Drosophila melanogaster: one gene and its partner. The protein of the gene in region 1 interacts with the protein of each later gene in a pairwise test. Each region holds a gene or a part of one and is shown on either strand. Other genes may lie near its edges.

Region 1 (8,158 bases):
TGCGCTATAACAACACTATTAATAACCAAATACAAGGCGAGCAACCCTGATTCGGATCCCCATCCCGTTGCCCACCGGGCTTTCTTGCCCCAAAGCGTTGCCAATGTCAACCGTCACGAACACCCCAACAAGCCCACCCCCTGGAAACTCCATTCCATTGTCTTCGGCGTTTTCAATGCCGGCGCACATAAAAATTCCGGCTACGTTTACGGCGTGGACTACGCTTATAAACAAAGTTTGTTAATATTTCTTCGCCAACGGACGCGAAACTCGCCTCGCATCTCGCGCGTGAAAATCCATTTAGTTAAATGCTCGCAGGATGCGGAAATCACTTTCGAGATTCCAGAAATAGTACGGCATTTTAAAATCAATTTTCCAAACAGTTATTAAATGCTTGTCTATGGACAAATGGTTCGGAGAGAAACGTCTCTGGCTGTTTGGTAACCACCTTCCACTTTTGCCCAGAAGGTAAGTCGAACTTGGCATTGCATTGCATTGAATGGTAACAAAAAGTGCTATCCAAACATTTTTTCATTGTTTTGGCCTAAACTTGAACTTCAAGATTGGCGCGCAGATAGAGTGTTGCCCCTGATATTGTTTTGCTTAACGTCGGGCCTTGTGAATAACCAACCCTACAGTAAATAGTAATCATCGTATGAAAACATTGTGTGTCTCTAACTAACATTTAGATACCTTCTTTGAACGCCTTTGAAACTGACAGTTAAAAGCTACTCAACTTACACAAGATCTAACCAAGAAGCCACAGGACCAAAAAGGACAAAAACTCCAATCAAATTGAATTTCAATCAATGCGAGTATATGTGCACGGAAAAAAAGATGCAGAAGAACAAAAGCGAAAAGAGATGAAATCAAGTACAGAGACATCAAATTGCATTGAAATGCGTTCGGAGCTTGGATTTGTCTCCAACATCAACCCACTTACCATCCGAATTCTGACAGGCCAGACAAGCAGCTCTGAAGGAATATTGCATACTTATGGGAACGGATGATGTAGCGGTTTTTAATGCTTTTGATCCAAGCAGACGAAAACCCTATTTTCGGCAAATGTCAACGACACTTGCGTTTTGCTCGAAAGGAACAGAGGGAAATGTTTTTTTGCTGGAATACATATCTGACTGAAATAGAATAAGATATTGCCCATCAGACTGTAAGCAAATGATTGATACATAACACTTGTACTCGCACACTTGTTCATGAGAAGGTTTTTACAAGTCACATACTTTTCTTTGGTAATTATTGATAAGTTGTTTCAGGAGATGGATAGTTATATAATACAAGACAAGTTCATGATCATGACCCAGGACCCAAGGAGCGCAATTCATGCTGTTCTGGTAGCAATAACAATTTGATGTGTTTCATACATTTCCTAAGTTTATTTATGTGAAATTAGTAAGGGTTTTTTAAACTTTAATCAAGTTTATTCACATTGAATTGCCATGATCCCAAGATCTAAACGTTCATTGTGCTCAAAAAATGTTATAATGGGACTGCTTTGCTTATATCAGCACTTTTGGTGAATGGACTTTTCAACAGCCGCGAATTAGAATCGCGTTTTCGGTTTGCCAGCAGGATACTTACATTTGTTTGGCGCTTTCATGGCATTTGACAGTCGCTCTCATTCCCACAGTGGATGCCAAAACTCACAGGTGCCCGCCTCACCTTACATAATTGAATCCCCGCAAGCCGTTTTTTTCCCTCCAGCTTGCACCACTGATTTCGTGTGCCTCGCTGTGGCATGTGGCAAACTCTGCCTCATTCGCCTGCCGTCGCAACTCTCACTTCTCGCATTATGCGCCTGACTCATTTGCATGTTCCTTTGGCTTCCCCCGGCCGCATTTTTTCTGACCCAAAAAAATCTTAAACAATATGGAAAAGCATTGCCGGCACGAGACACGTCAGAAACAGAGCCGGTTTTTTGCACCTGTTTGAGAAGGAATGTCGCTCCATGCATAAAGTATTCATGATGTCCGTTGCATTTGAAATCATGTATCGATAAAATAAATAGACGAGAGACCGTCGAAGTGCAACTTAGTTATCCTGAGACCCTGCAGCCGTACGAACGCCTGGCGACGTGCAATGTTTCACAGCTCATCGTTCTACTTGCCGCAATCGTTACAGAACTCCTTCCTCTACCGCCTCATTCAGAAGATCCAGGTGTGCAATGAGCCGGACTTAGTTGAGACCAGGCAGTACAGGTGGGTCGATTAGCGCCGTTCGTGGCCCTAATTAGCTTTACCAACTTTTTGCGGAATGAAAGTGAAATGCAGTGCTAAAACGGGCAGAAAGGATAAACTTTTCCCAATGACATTTGAGTCGCTGCTGGTGGAGGTGGTGTTGCAACGGCCTTGGCCTTTCATTTCACACGCATATGCCTGCTTCGTCCTCCAAGCGCTTCAGCTCTGCTATCCCCGTAAGTAGGCAACGCTTTTTGCACAGACCTCGCACAAAGTTTGGGACACTCGGTGCGTGTGTGAGCATTTGGCATTAATGGCTTGTTATTTATTGCATTTTACGCTTGTTTTCCCAAAGGCCACGTCAACACAACCCTTACCAACAACCCGCAATATTTATATGGCCAAAAGGTTCAGGGACTTTACAAGGCGATGTTAGAGGTTTTGCTAAAAAACTTTACTTACTTGACATATTATTGCTATTTTAGCAAGTACAGACACTTGAAATAAACCCACAAGGCAGTACGAATATTAAACATCTAAAAATGTGTGGTTTCTCTAAAAATAAAGACCATTCAGTCTGACTTCAGTAAGCTAAACTCGTATAAGTAAATTTCAATTTTAAGTATCTATTTTAAAGGCCAGCTAAATGTTCCTTTTTCTTAAATAGAAGTGCTTTAATTCTCCTCTCATTCTTATATAATACCCATTACTAAATAAACTTTAGCGCTGCTATATCACACAAATACCGGGGGTCAGTATCAGAATGGTAAATAAACGAAGAGCCATTAAGCTGGGAAGCATTGACCCCAACATTGAGTGCAAACATCATGACAACGACATGAACAAATAATTGCTATGCGCAAACAACTACATAGAACAATAAATACAAAAATATAATTAAAAGCCACAAGAGCCTAGAATAAAGGTAAAATCAAAGTGGGAAAGGTTAAAGTGCTTTCGCGGAAAACAAAAGCTGTCAAATGTATAAGGCAAGCAGATGGTGTTTAAGTTGGAACGGGGTCGACGGGAGTTCTCAGTAATTATGCAAATCAGAAATCAGTGGGGTGCTGTCACTATACTTTCATACACTTCTTAAAGGTAAATTTCAAGGAAATTAGTTACCTAATACACCACACCGGTCAAAGAATTCGTTTTATATACATATACCTTACATATTGCTTATACAGTATGCGTGATTATGGTTCCTAATTTATGTTCGACGCTCACCTTCGTGTTTTTCCACTGCACTTAAATGCATTATTAATGAAACACGCAAGACCAAAACAAACAAAAACATAGGAATCAAAGTCGCCATTGGCCAACGCGGCGTATGTGCGATGTCCGCTGATGCAACCGAGCTGCTACCAACTCCGTCGCTCTCCAAACTCGTTTCTAGCCAAAAGCACCTCAGTCGATTGCCGGCTCTTAACGTCTTCACATCGTGTAGTTCTGCCAAAAAGTTATAGGGCTCTTTGTTTGGCCCAAGTGAAGGAAACACGGAAACAAACCAAATATAGACAAAAGGTGAACTGGAAAAAATTCGATACTGCAATGAAAATGTTTGAGATTTCTAAATTGTTTTCCCTACGAAGGTATGAGCAAAAAAAAAAAAATAAACAAAATTAAAAAAAAAAATTAACATTTATTATTAACATCATAACTTATCTTATTTGCCTGTGAACTGTGAAAGTTTTAAAGTTTGGACAGCTTCGAAAAGCAAACACAATAAGTGACCCCTGGCAAGCAAATTAGCTGCACAGCAATACTTAAGTTATTCAGCCAGGAAAAGCCATCCCTAATACTGTTATAATTGCACAGCGATTCAAACATTAATTAGTAATAAGGACCCCAAATAGAATCCACCCCCGAAGCGCCCACGTAGCGCGTAGTTACGACAAACTTATTGCACTGCTGCACCAGTTTAGCTATATGGAATCCTCCAGCAATCTGTGTCAAAGAACCCGGTTCATAAGCGACTCCCCTGCCTTCTCCTTAGACAGACGACTCCAGCAGGTAACCTCAAAATGTGTAGTGGGAAAGGAGCTGGGAAAGCTGGGAAAGAAGCACACCTTGAATGTCTTCCGGTAGTCGCTAGAAAAAACAACAAAGGGGAGAAACTTCTTGAACAACTTTGGGGGCAACTGCGCATGGATTTGGTTTTGTTGTGGTTTTTTGCTTTGTTAACTTTGGTCGCATTGCTATGACATTGGCCAGTGGGGTGGAGTCGACCTGGTCGACATGGGGCACAGGTCGGCTCTAGCGTTTCCCCCATTCGGTGCTCAGTTGTCAGACAAAACATACGTCCGCTCAAGCGGTCTACCCATTCAAATATTTATTGATCGACAGGCTTGGCGGAATATTCGGCGCATGGTGTGTATCGTAGACTTCCCCCAAAAGACTTTAATCAAATACATATATATATATATATATATGTCCTATTCATTCACAATTCAATTACTAACTCTAGTGGCAAATACGTCAGATATTAGCCAGATGGGTGCCTAGGTAAGTCATCTGCTTGCTACGTTTTCGGTGTCCTGTGTTGCTTTCATTTATTTGTGCCACCAACCAGCACCACCATCATAAGCACACAAATATTTAATTGCATGCCATGTTTATGACCCACACACATGTTAGCAAAAGATGCAGAAAGGCCCAAGCAGGGTTCAGTTACCCCGTTTAAGGTTTTGTGGCTGGCATTGAACTGTCAACCCGTGAAGTCCTCGACCAGACCGGTAATGCCAATTTCAAAGGAGCACGCTCTCGAACACCTGGGGCTACAAAATCGATTTAGTTTTCGTGTTCACGCTAGAAAGTTAATTACCCTCGGTTTCTAATCTAATACTAATGGTACAATTCTGAATGAACAGAATAAGTTATTTTAATCTTATTTTCACTTAAACTGTGTAAAAATGTTAGAATTCATTAGTCCATACACTCAAATCAATGACAATTCCACATAGGGTTATGTTTACTTGGGTCAAAAAAATCGATTTAGTTCTCGTGCTTATAAATGGCAGAGTAGTAATGATTAGGTTGTGTATCTAATGGCAATTGAATGTTTACAATATCGATTTATTTGATTAGCTATAATAGCTGCATTTAGATTGGAAAAAGTTAGCAGGAAGAAGTTTATATTGATGTACTTCGGCACATTTTAATTTATTATTATTACATTTTATTTAACAGTTCCTTTGGCCCACCAAAATTAACGTTTAAACCAAATAACTCATTCTAAAAGTTCTCTCATTTGTTGTTTGTTTCATTCCATCGAAATCGACTAACCAAATCATACCGAATTCGTGAAACCAAACCTCCAAAATGTTCTGGACATCCCCAAAAAAAAACCAAACCTATTCAATATAATAACTTGTACATATATGCATACACATCAAATCGTAAGACAGCCCTTGAAATAATACCAGATCGAATATCAAATCACTTCATACTCGCTCGCATATCCTAGAATGCAAGTTCGCCCCTGTGAGTCCACATGTGTTCGTGTCTGAGGTATCAAACAGAAAAATTCTTGAACATTTTGTGTGCCCAATGCAAAGCAATGCGACGTGCAAACATCAAACGTGGTCAATGTTTGAGCTTAAGGTAAAATCCACTCCAAACTCAAACTGAACGTTAGCCGCAATCGGGGTGGGAATTCCGGAATAACTCATACCTGTTAACTTCCTTGCAGACCACAAGGTAGCAGCAAAATGGATCGCTATGAGAAGCTCAGTCGGCTGGGCGAGGGCTCCTACGGTGTGGTCTACAAGTGCCGGGATCGGGAAACGGGTGCTCTGGTGGCGGTCAAGAGGTTTGTGGAGTCCGAGGATGATCCAGCGATTCGTAAAATTGCACTGCGAGAAATTAGGCTACTGAAGGTAAGCCTTAATAACTTAAATCACTTGAATCACTTAATCACTCGAAATTTCCTGCAGAACCTGAAGCATCCGAACCTTGTCTCCCTGCTAGAAGTGTTCCGACGGAAGCGACGCCTCCATCTGGTCTTCGAGTTCTGCGAGCTGACCGTGCTGCACGAACTGGAGCGGCATCCACAGGGCTGCCCGGAGCACCTGACCAAACAGATCTGCTACCAGACCCTGCTGGGCGTGGCCTACTGCCACAAGCAGGGCTGCCTACACCGCGACATCAAGCCGGAGAACATTCTGCTGACGGCCCAGGGTCAGGTGAAGCTGTGTGACTTCGGCTTCGCCCGGATGCTCAGTCCGGGCGAGAATTACACGGACTACGTGGCCACCAGATGGTACCGGGCGCCGGAGCTGCTGGTGGGCGACACTCAGTACGGCACTCCGGTGGACGTCTGGGCCATCGGTTGCCTCTTCGCCGAGCTGGTCCGGGGCGAGGCCCTCTGGCCAGGACGTAGCGATGTGGATCAGCTCTATCTGATCCGCAAGACGCTCGGCGACCTGCTGCCGCGCCACATCCAGATCTTTGGACAGAACGAGTACTTTAAGGGCATCACGCTGCCAGTGCCGCCGACGCTGGAGCCGCTGGAGGACAAGATGCCGGCCAAGTCGCAGCAGAATCCCCTGACCATTGACTTTCTCAAGAAGTGCCTGGACAAGGATCCGACCAAGCGCTGGTCCTGCGAGAAGCTCACAAAGCACTCCTACTTCGATGACTACATCGCTAAGCAGCGCGAACTGGAGCACGTCAACAGCCTGGAGGCGGCCAATCTCCGCCAGCAGCAGCTCGCCTCCCAGCAGTTCATGCTGGCCACGGCGGCCCAGCAGCTCCAGACGGGTCCTGCTCAGGCGGCGGCCATCGCGGCGGCCCGGGATAAATCAAAGGTGCGTACGGCAGTCCTCTCAGAGGATAATTCAATCTATTAGTATATCCTTTCGATTACAGACTTCAAACACATCACTACCGCTGCTGCCTAGCACGCAGCATCATCATCACCCGCATCAAGATTACGTGAAGCTGCAGCCCCTGAACAAGAATGCAAACCTGCTACATCGCACCGAGCATCATCTGCCCACAATTTGAGTTTGAGCAGAGAATTTGTAACGAAGTAATGTCCTTGAGCGAGAATTGAGCCCGAAATTTAACTTATTTACTGCTGGGAATAAATGTGTAAAAGTAATCCATTAATATATCACTGGGTGGAACGTTCGTAAACACTTGGCAACTCATCCCTTCGGGCCGAACTGAATTAGTAACTAAGTCTAAAGTGCAATTTTCAGCTGTCATCAAATAAAATGTGCTACATAATGTTTTATTCCATAAATTTTCAATTCCGTTAGTCCATGAGATTCGCAAATCACTCCAGGTTAATCTTTAATTCACTTTCCAGTTGCGTCCTGGCTCGAATCCTTTTCAGCCTTGCACACACACGTACATCGAATTAAAAATCCTTGCAGCATGTCGACTAGTCAAACGGTTACATTCCACCTCCAACTCTCACCTACTTGTTGAGCCTGGTCTGGATTACACATTTTTACATCTATTTAACCAGGAGCGGATTGGGAACAGCGGAGCCCTTTTAATAGAACATTTATAATTATATAATGTTATAAGTTCGTTTACTTTATATTTGATTCAATAAGGTCTGTTTTGCAGTCCTTTGATATATATACATGAACTGCTTGATACCCTCTTTTGAGGCTCCGCTCCTGAAGTATTTCATCGTCGACAGATATCGCCTCCTGGCGTCCATACCACGTTTTTTGGCAGCTTAATCCAGTGCTAAGCACACGGCAGATAATCAGCGACACGTATCGGCTTTCGTGTATCCTAGTCGTGTCCCAAGGACTTTGTTGATGTCCTTCAAGAAGCGTCAGAGAAACGTGTGCCCCAAAGGATGGTGATGAAAGGATTAGTGAAGCTTATAGCGCGCTGAGACTATTCTAAGGCGAAGCAAGGGCAGCAAAGAAAAAATAATACTAATGTTTGCAACAATATCATGAGTTGAAGCATCGAATTTCAGGCACTATTAGCTTATA
Region 2 (6,017 bases), on another chromosome or scaffold:
AACGGCGCGTATCTTGCCCGTGTCTCCCTCCCAAATGTACATGTTGCCGTCATCCGAACCAGCGGCTATGAACTCGCCCTGGCTGCCCAAATAGTTGGCCTCCTTTATGTCCGTCGTGACGTTGCAGTGGCCCACATAGCGTTGCATATAGTCGCGTGCCGTGGAACGGAGATCATATTCGGCGTTCTTCAGACGCAGGTAGCGGAAGCCATCATCCACTTCCACCGGCTGTAGCTCGGGTGCCTCGGGGCTCTTTGACTGTCGTCGATTCTCCTTGATGTCCTTGTTCAGCATGAGCACGCCGTGATTGTTGGCGAAGTCGGGGAAACGCTGAATTAGTGCCTGCAAGCACTGATCCGCATCCTGGGGTCGATGCAGCTCAAGCAATGCCCTGGCCAGCCGAAAGTGGGCCTTCACATAACTGGGATCCAGACGCAGGGCCTCGTGGCAGTCCCTAAGTGCCGCATATATATCACCAAACCAGCCGCGTCGCATTAGAGCCGTCGCTCTGTTCAGATAGAGGACCTCTCCTTGTGGATATTTCGCCAAAGCCGCTGAGTAAGCATCAATTGCATCTACAAGTTTGCCGTTCTCAAGAAAGTCATTGCCCTCCTTCTTATACACCTCTATTTCGGTTGGCAGCGAGCGACTTCTGTGTGGCATCTTCACCGGCTCCTCCTCGTGAACGAGTGTTGATGTGAAGGCGGGCAGATCGTAGAAAACCGGAGGCTCAGCGTGATTCAGATCAAAGCGGTAGACGTGCTCGCAGCCTATGTTGACCAAAAGCTCTGTGCCATTGCCATTGAACGTAAGATAAGTGATTCCCCGTGGCTCGTGGACAATGTTCCGGCTGATGTTTTTCACGATCTGTCCGGGTGCATAGTACGCCACGCAGGCAGAGAGACCTTAAAGGGATAAGAGTTCAATATGCATATGTATGAGCTGCAGCGCCTACAAATTCAAGTACTCACCATTGCCGTTGGTGGAGGGCAGCTTGCGGCGATCGTACACCCGGGCAAAGGGATCGTTGGTGCCCACGGCCAGGTATTCCGTCCTTCGGGGATTTATAGCCAGACATTTGGCCTCTGTGTTCTCCAACTGATCGTGCAGGTTCAAGAGCCTGACACCAATACCTTCCTCGGGACGGCAGCGATGTGGCTCACGTATATCTAGCTGCAGGATGCAACCATCCTCTCCCGCCGACCAAAAGACGTGCGGCGAGTCCTGGGCGGTGGCCAAGCGCTTCGCCCGAGAAAAATGGCAAATGCAAGAAAAAAGGGTCTCGTTCGGGTCGTTGATGTCGTAGACGTAGATGAACTTATCCGCTGCACACGTAGCCACAATGCTGTTGTTGGTCTTGGGCAGAAATTTTACAGAGAACACATTGCCCAGATGCTTGGTCCTGATGACATGAACAAGCTTCTTTCGGAACGGATCCCAGATCATCACACGATAGTCGTCGGATCCGGAGGCCAGCCACATACCATCAGTGGTCCACTCCAGACAGTTGACGCAGCCCTCGTGACCGACGAGCACTGCCTCCTGCTCCAGCCTGTCCACGTAGGCCGGCGATGCCAGCAGACGTCGCCGGAGCATCTCGTCCAGCTCATGACCGTATTGCTGGCGCTGCCAATGCAAGGAGCTGGCGTTCAAGGGCGTGTGCTGGCGCTGATAGCGCGAACTAGAGTACTTTACGCGATACAGTTCATCGCTCGACATTATCTCCGACTGCTGTGGATAGGATTATGACACTTGTTTCCGTTTGTTTTCGTCTCGTTCTCCGTTTAATTCATTTTGCATTCGCTGATTTCCCCTGCCCCGCTTCGCCCCCCTTCCATCAACAACTTTGCTGTTGTTGACACCTGTGCGCGGCGTTGCCAGGCCAGCGCGTATCGCCGTAACGGTTTGCGTTAGCTTACGGGATCGAACAACCAAATTTCAGTTATGGAAAAAGTATTTCTTTTTTTAAACACCCGAGAAGTGAAAGATTAAGTAGAGTCTAGCACACAACTGACTTAAACCGCCTACGAAGGCAAACGTAAATTCATTTATAAAACCTCTTAAACTCTATTATGGCTTAAAAAAAGAACAAACAAAAAAAAACAGGTTTTACGTATAGTAAAAAAATGTAAGCCAATTGCAAGTTCCGCTCTAGCCGACCGTTTTTAAGGGCTGGAAAATGGTGGAAAACATTTGAGGGATTATAACAGTTTTACCATCTGGTAACACTGCCAGATAAACTAAAAAAATCGAATTGATTTATTTAATTCCACGGAAGACGCGACGTTGACTGAAAAGCTAAGACATGTCCAAAGAAAAGGAGGACGAGTGCGACAAGCACAAACAGCAGGCGACGGCGGACGCCAAGTCCACGTCGAGCGAGGATTCCGATGAGTACCAATCGGCCGGTGAGGGCGAGGATGGAGACGGCGATGGTGACGGTGATTCCCCAGCGGAGCGCCCGCCTGACAAAACCAGCCCCACGGTCGCCGTTGCGCCCACAGCAAAGGCAGCATCGCCACTGCCCACTGTGAAGCCAGCATCCGAGGCCCTGGACTTTCCTATGCACCGGAGTGTTTTCGAGGACGACATCAAGTCGCTGCAGCGACGACTTCTATTGAGCACGGCCCAAGACGAAGTGGGTAGAAAGGATAAGCACGGCAATACGCCACTCCATCTGGCCGTAATGCTGGGCAGAAAGCACGCTGTCCGTTTGCTTCTGGCCCAAAACGCCCCCGTAAAGATCAAGAACAATGAGGGCTGGTCCCCGCTGTCCGAGGCCATTAGCTACGGCGACCGCCAGACAATCACCCAGGTGCTGCGAATGCTAAAGCTGCAGTCCCGCGAACACATGGAGAGTCGGCGCGAGAAGCTGGTCAATGCGCTGCGCCAGATGCAGGACTTCTACATGGAATTCAAGTGGGATTTTCAATCATGGCTGCCACTGGTTTCCCGCATCCTGCCCTCGGACATCTGCCGGCTTTACAAGTCGGGCGCCTCCATTCGTTTGGACACCACACTGGTGGACTTCAATGATATGCGTTGGGAGCGAGGGGACATATCGTTCTTGTTTAGAGGTGAGGCGCCGGCAAGGGAATCGCTGGTTCTGTTGGACAATGAGCAGGAATGCTTTCAGCGGCTGCGATACGAGGAATCAGACATGGAGGATGAGGTGGATGTGCTCATGTCGACCGATATACTGGCCACCCAGATGTCCACCAAGACGATTCAGTTCGCACGGGCGCAACGCGGATGGATATTCCGCGCCAATCGCAAGGAGCTCATTGGGGGCCAATACCAGTGCGAAATTTACACCATCCAGGGCTTAATCCTGAAGCAGCGTAAGAGGCGGGAACACCTGTCACACGAGGATCTACAAAAGAACCGCGCCATTGTCGAGACTATTACCAAGGGTGCCAGCCAGCAGCCGGATACGCGTCGCTCCAGTCTAGGCAGCCAGCACACGGCCACGCCGCCGGAGACCAATACACCAACGGCTCCGAATGGCATCTCACTGCCGGAGCTGCCGCGTCGCAGCTCGCTGCAGGCCCCGCCGCCTCCCACAGTCACCTGGCGACAGTATCTCGATGCGGAGGTCGGTAAGTGCCCGCAACTGGGTCGGACACCCGTGCACAAGCAATCCAACAAGACGCTGCGAGCAACGGTAGCCATGAGCAAGGACTTTCCACTTAGCGTGGATATGCTGCTGGACGTTCTGGAAGTCGTGGCACCCCTAAAACACATCAACAAGCTGCGCGAATTCGTCACGCTGAAGCTACCGACGGGCTTTCCCGTGAAGATTGAGATACCCGTACTGCACACGGTGACCGCCAAGGTGACGTTCCAAAAATTCGAGTTCCGCGACAACATCCCCGCCAAGATGTTCGAGGTGCCATCGCACTATTGGGAGGATGTGCGTCGCTTTCAGGACTTATGACCAGGCGACGGAGAAGCCGCGCCAAAGGCCAAAGCAGCAACCGGCGGACCGACTGGAGCAGCGACTGGCGTTCATGTCGACTTGAATCGCAATGCGTCCTCGCCCTCCATTGCGGAGTTCGATTGATGAGGCGTCTACCGCGACACACGCCTCTCATTCTGCCTGTCCGCCTGTCCCACACATTTCATGTCGCGTTTAGTGATCACTCCAGCAAAAGTCGGAGGATACAGCTCGAACGCGGGCGGCTTGTTTATGTATGTATGCTTAAGAGGAAAACACCCACACACAAAATTGCAATTTTCACCATGAGTGAATCCCATACTCTCCCGGTCCAAATCCAAATTGGACGCTCTGAAAATTGCAATTTTACATTTACGTTTTGTTATGTACTGTATTTGTTTTTAGTCGCCTTCGCAAGAAGGGTCATTACTTAGTAGTATTTATTATGCACAGGCTCGTCATTTTTAACAGCCCGAGTGAATCACATCAACTTCAAATGGTGTTTTCAGATTGCCACCCTAATTGGTGGGGTGCGGTCCCAAAACAGCTGCTCCACTGGCGAGGAATCCAGAAGATCACTTTCCCAAATTGCCTTTCGTATCTGCCGATAATCGCGGCGGTACGAAGGTAAAACTAAATGTCCAATCTGCAGAATTGCTTGCTGATAGCCACGTTGACAGCAGCAATTTGCTAAGTTTTTAGTTTGTAAGTGATTAGATGTTGTCCAATATCCGATCGTTTCGCAAAACGTTTATCATTTTATTTATGTCCATACCCCCTTTCCGTGTTTAGTGCAATTTCATACATAGTTTTAAGGTCAACTGGGAAAGAAGACAGATGTTTGTTTTCGAAATCGAAAAAAAAAGAATCCACGTAACCGCTTGAAGAACGTTCATCAAACAATTGCGTTCTTCTTCTACTTAGGCTATGTGTACTAGAGAATCGATCGCAAAACCATTTCCATTTCGCCTTTCCTCGCAATAGTCTCAAGTATTTAGAAGTGCGCAAAACTGAGACCAGCAGCTTCACAAATCAATTATAAATAAATATTTATACATACGCATGTAACCAAGTATTTATTTAGTTCCATCTTAGCCAATTATTTATACTGCAAAGAGCGTCTGTACTTGCTTTGTATTTGTTAATCAACAAAACCAGCTAGCACCGATTTAGTTTCGGTTCGCATTGCTTTGCTGTGATTTTGCCCTCTTTAAAACAAAAAAAATATGACTAAACACCACCATGTATTTATGTATGTATAACTGCCATTGCTTGCTTTTATTCGGACACAATTTTTTATTTCGTTTATAGAACTCCAATCCATTTAGGTCAAATCAAGGCGATAATCAAATGAAATTGTTTTTAAACCGTAATCCTAGATCAAAACACATCTTCACAAGAATTCTGATGTAAGCAAAAATCAGTATATTTTACTAGGTAAGGGCAATTTATTGAAACATTTATATTTATACGTGGCCACCCTAACTGTAATTGAACCGAGCAATTGTATACGCTCTAAAAAAAATAATTATATACACAAACTGTAAATGTGCAAACCCAAGAGAATTTGTGTTTTATTTATAAACAAATGGAAGTCGTTGGGATTTGAAACTGAATTTGGGCGGGCGTTCTTCACCGTTACACCACACTGCCCGGCGGGGGTGTTCTCCCGCCTGTGCGCGCTTTTCAACACTACTACTGGCTGAATCAGCTGCTTGAATCACAAAATACGCACAAATTGAGACAAAATTTTGTTTTTGAAACGAAATAAGCGATAATTGAAGCCTACCAAGATGATTGTCCCACGCCTGGCACTTCCCATTAGCCTTGCCCTGCAGCGCGTGTCGCGCCGGGTGGCGGAACACCCCCATAACCTAAGGATCCTGCAGCGCCACATGTCCAGCGTGTACTTTCGCAGTGGAGCCATCAAACCCAAGCCCGAGGAGATGCCATTCGGCCTGCTGGCCATCTTCTGTGCCGTCATACCGGGACTCTTCGTGGGCGCCACCATCAGCAAGAACGTGGCCAACTTTCTGGAGGAGAACGATCTGTTCGTGCCCGCGGATGACGACGACGACGA

What was found.
Region 2: the proteins of CG7236 (region 1) and CG5742 interact in a two-hybrid assay, tested with the Drosophila melanogaster proteins (one large-scale study listed by BioGRID).

What each region holds. Positions count from the first base shown.
Region 1 is NT_033779.5:5,706,352-5,714,509, forward strand, and holds CG7236 (uncharacterized protein), read left to right. Parts: upstream 1-2,039; 5' UTR 2,040-2,097; coding exon 2,098-2,216; intron 2,217-3,598; exon of another isoform or gene 3,599-3,746; coding exon of another isoform or gene 3,747-3,787; intron 3,788-5,551; exon of another isoform or gene 5,552-5,688; coding exon of another isoform or gene 5,689-5,798; intron 5,799-5,886; coding exon 5,887-6,073; intron 6,074-6,130; coding exon 6,131-7,003; intron 7,004-7,064; coding exon 7,065-7,202; 3' UTR 7,203-7,440; downstream 7,441-8,158.
Region 2 is NT_033778.4:18,147,596-18,153,612, reverse strand, and holds CG5742 (uncharacterized protein), read left to right. Parts: upstream 1-2,202; 5' UTR 2,203-2,305; coding exon 2,306-3,937; coding exon of another isoform or gene 3,938-4,063; 3' UTR 4,064-4,191; exon of another isoform or gene 4,192-4,446; 3' UTR 4,447-5,517; downstream 5,518-6,017. Other genes in the region: adp (adipose), read right to left, coding at 1-905, 972-1,719; EMRE (essential MCU regulator), read left to right, coding at 5,731-6,017.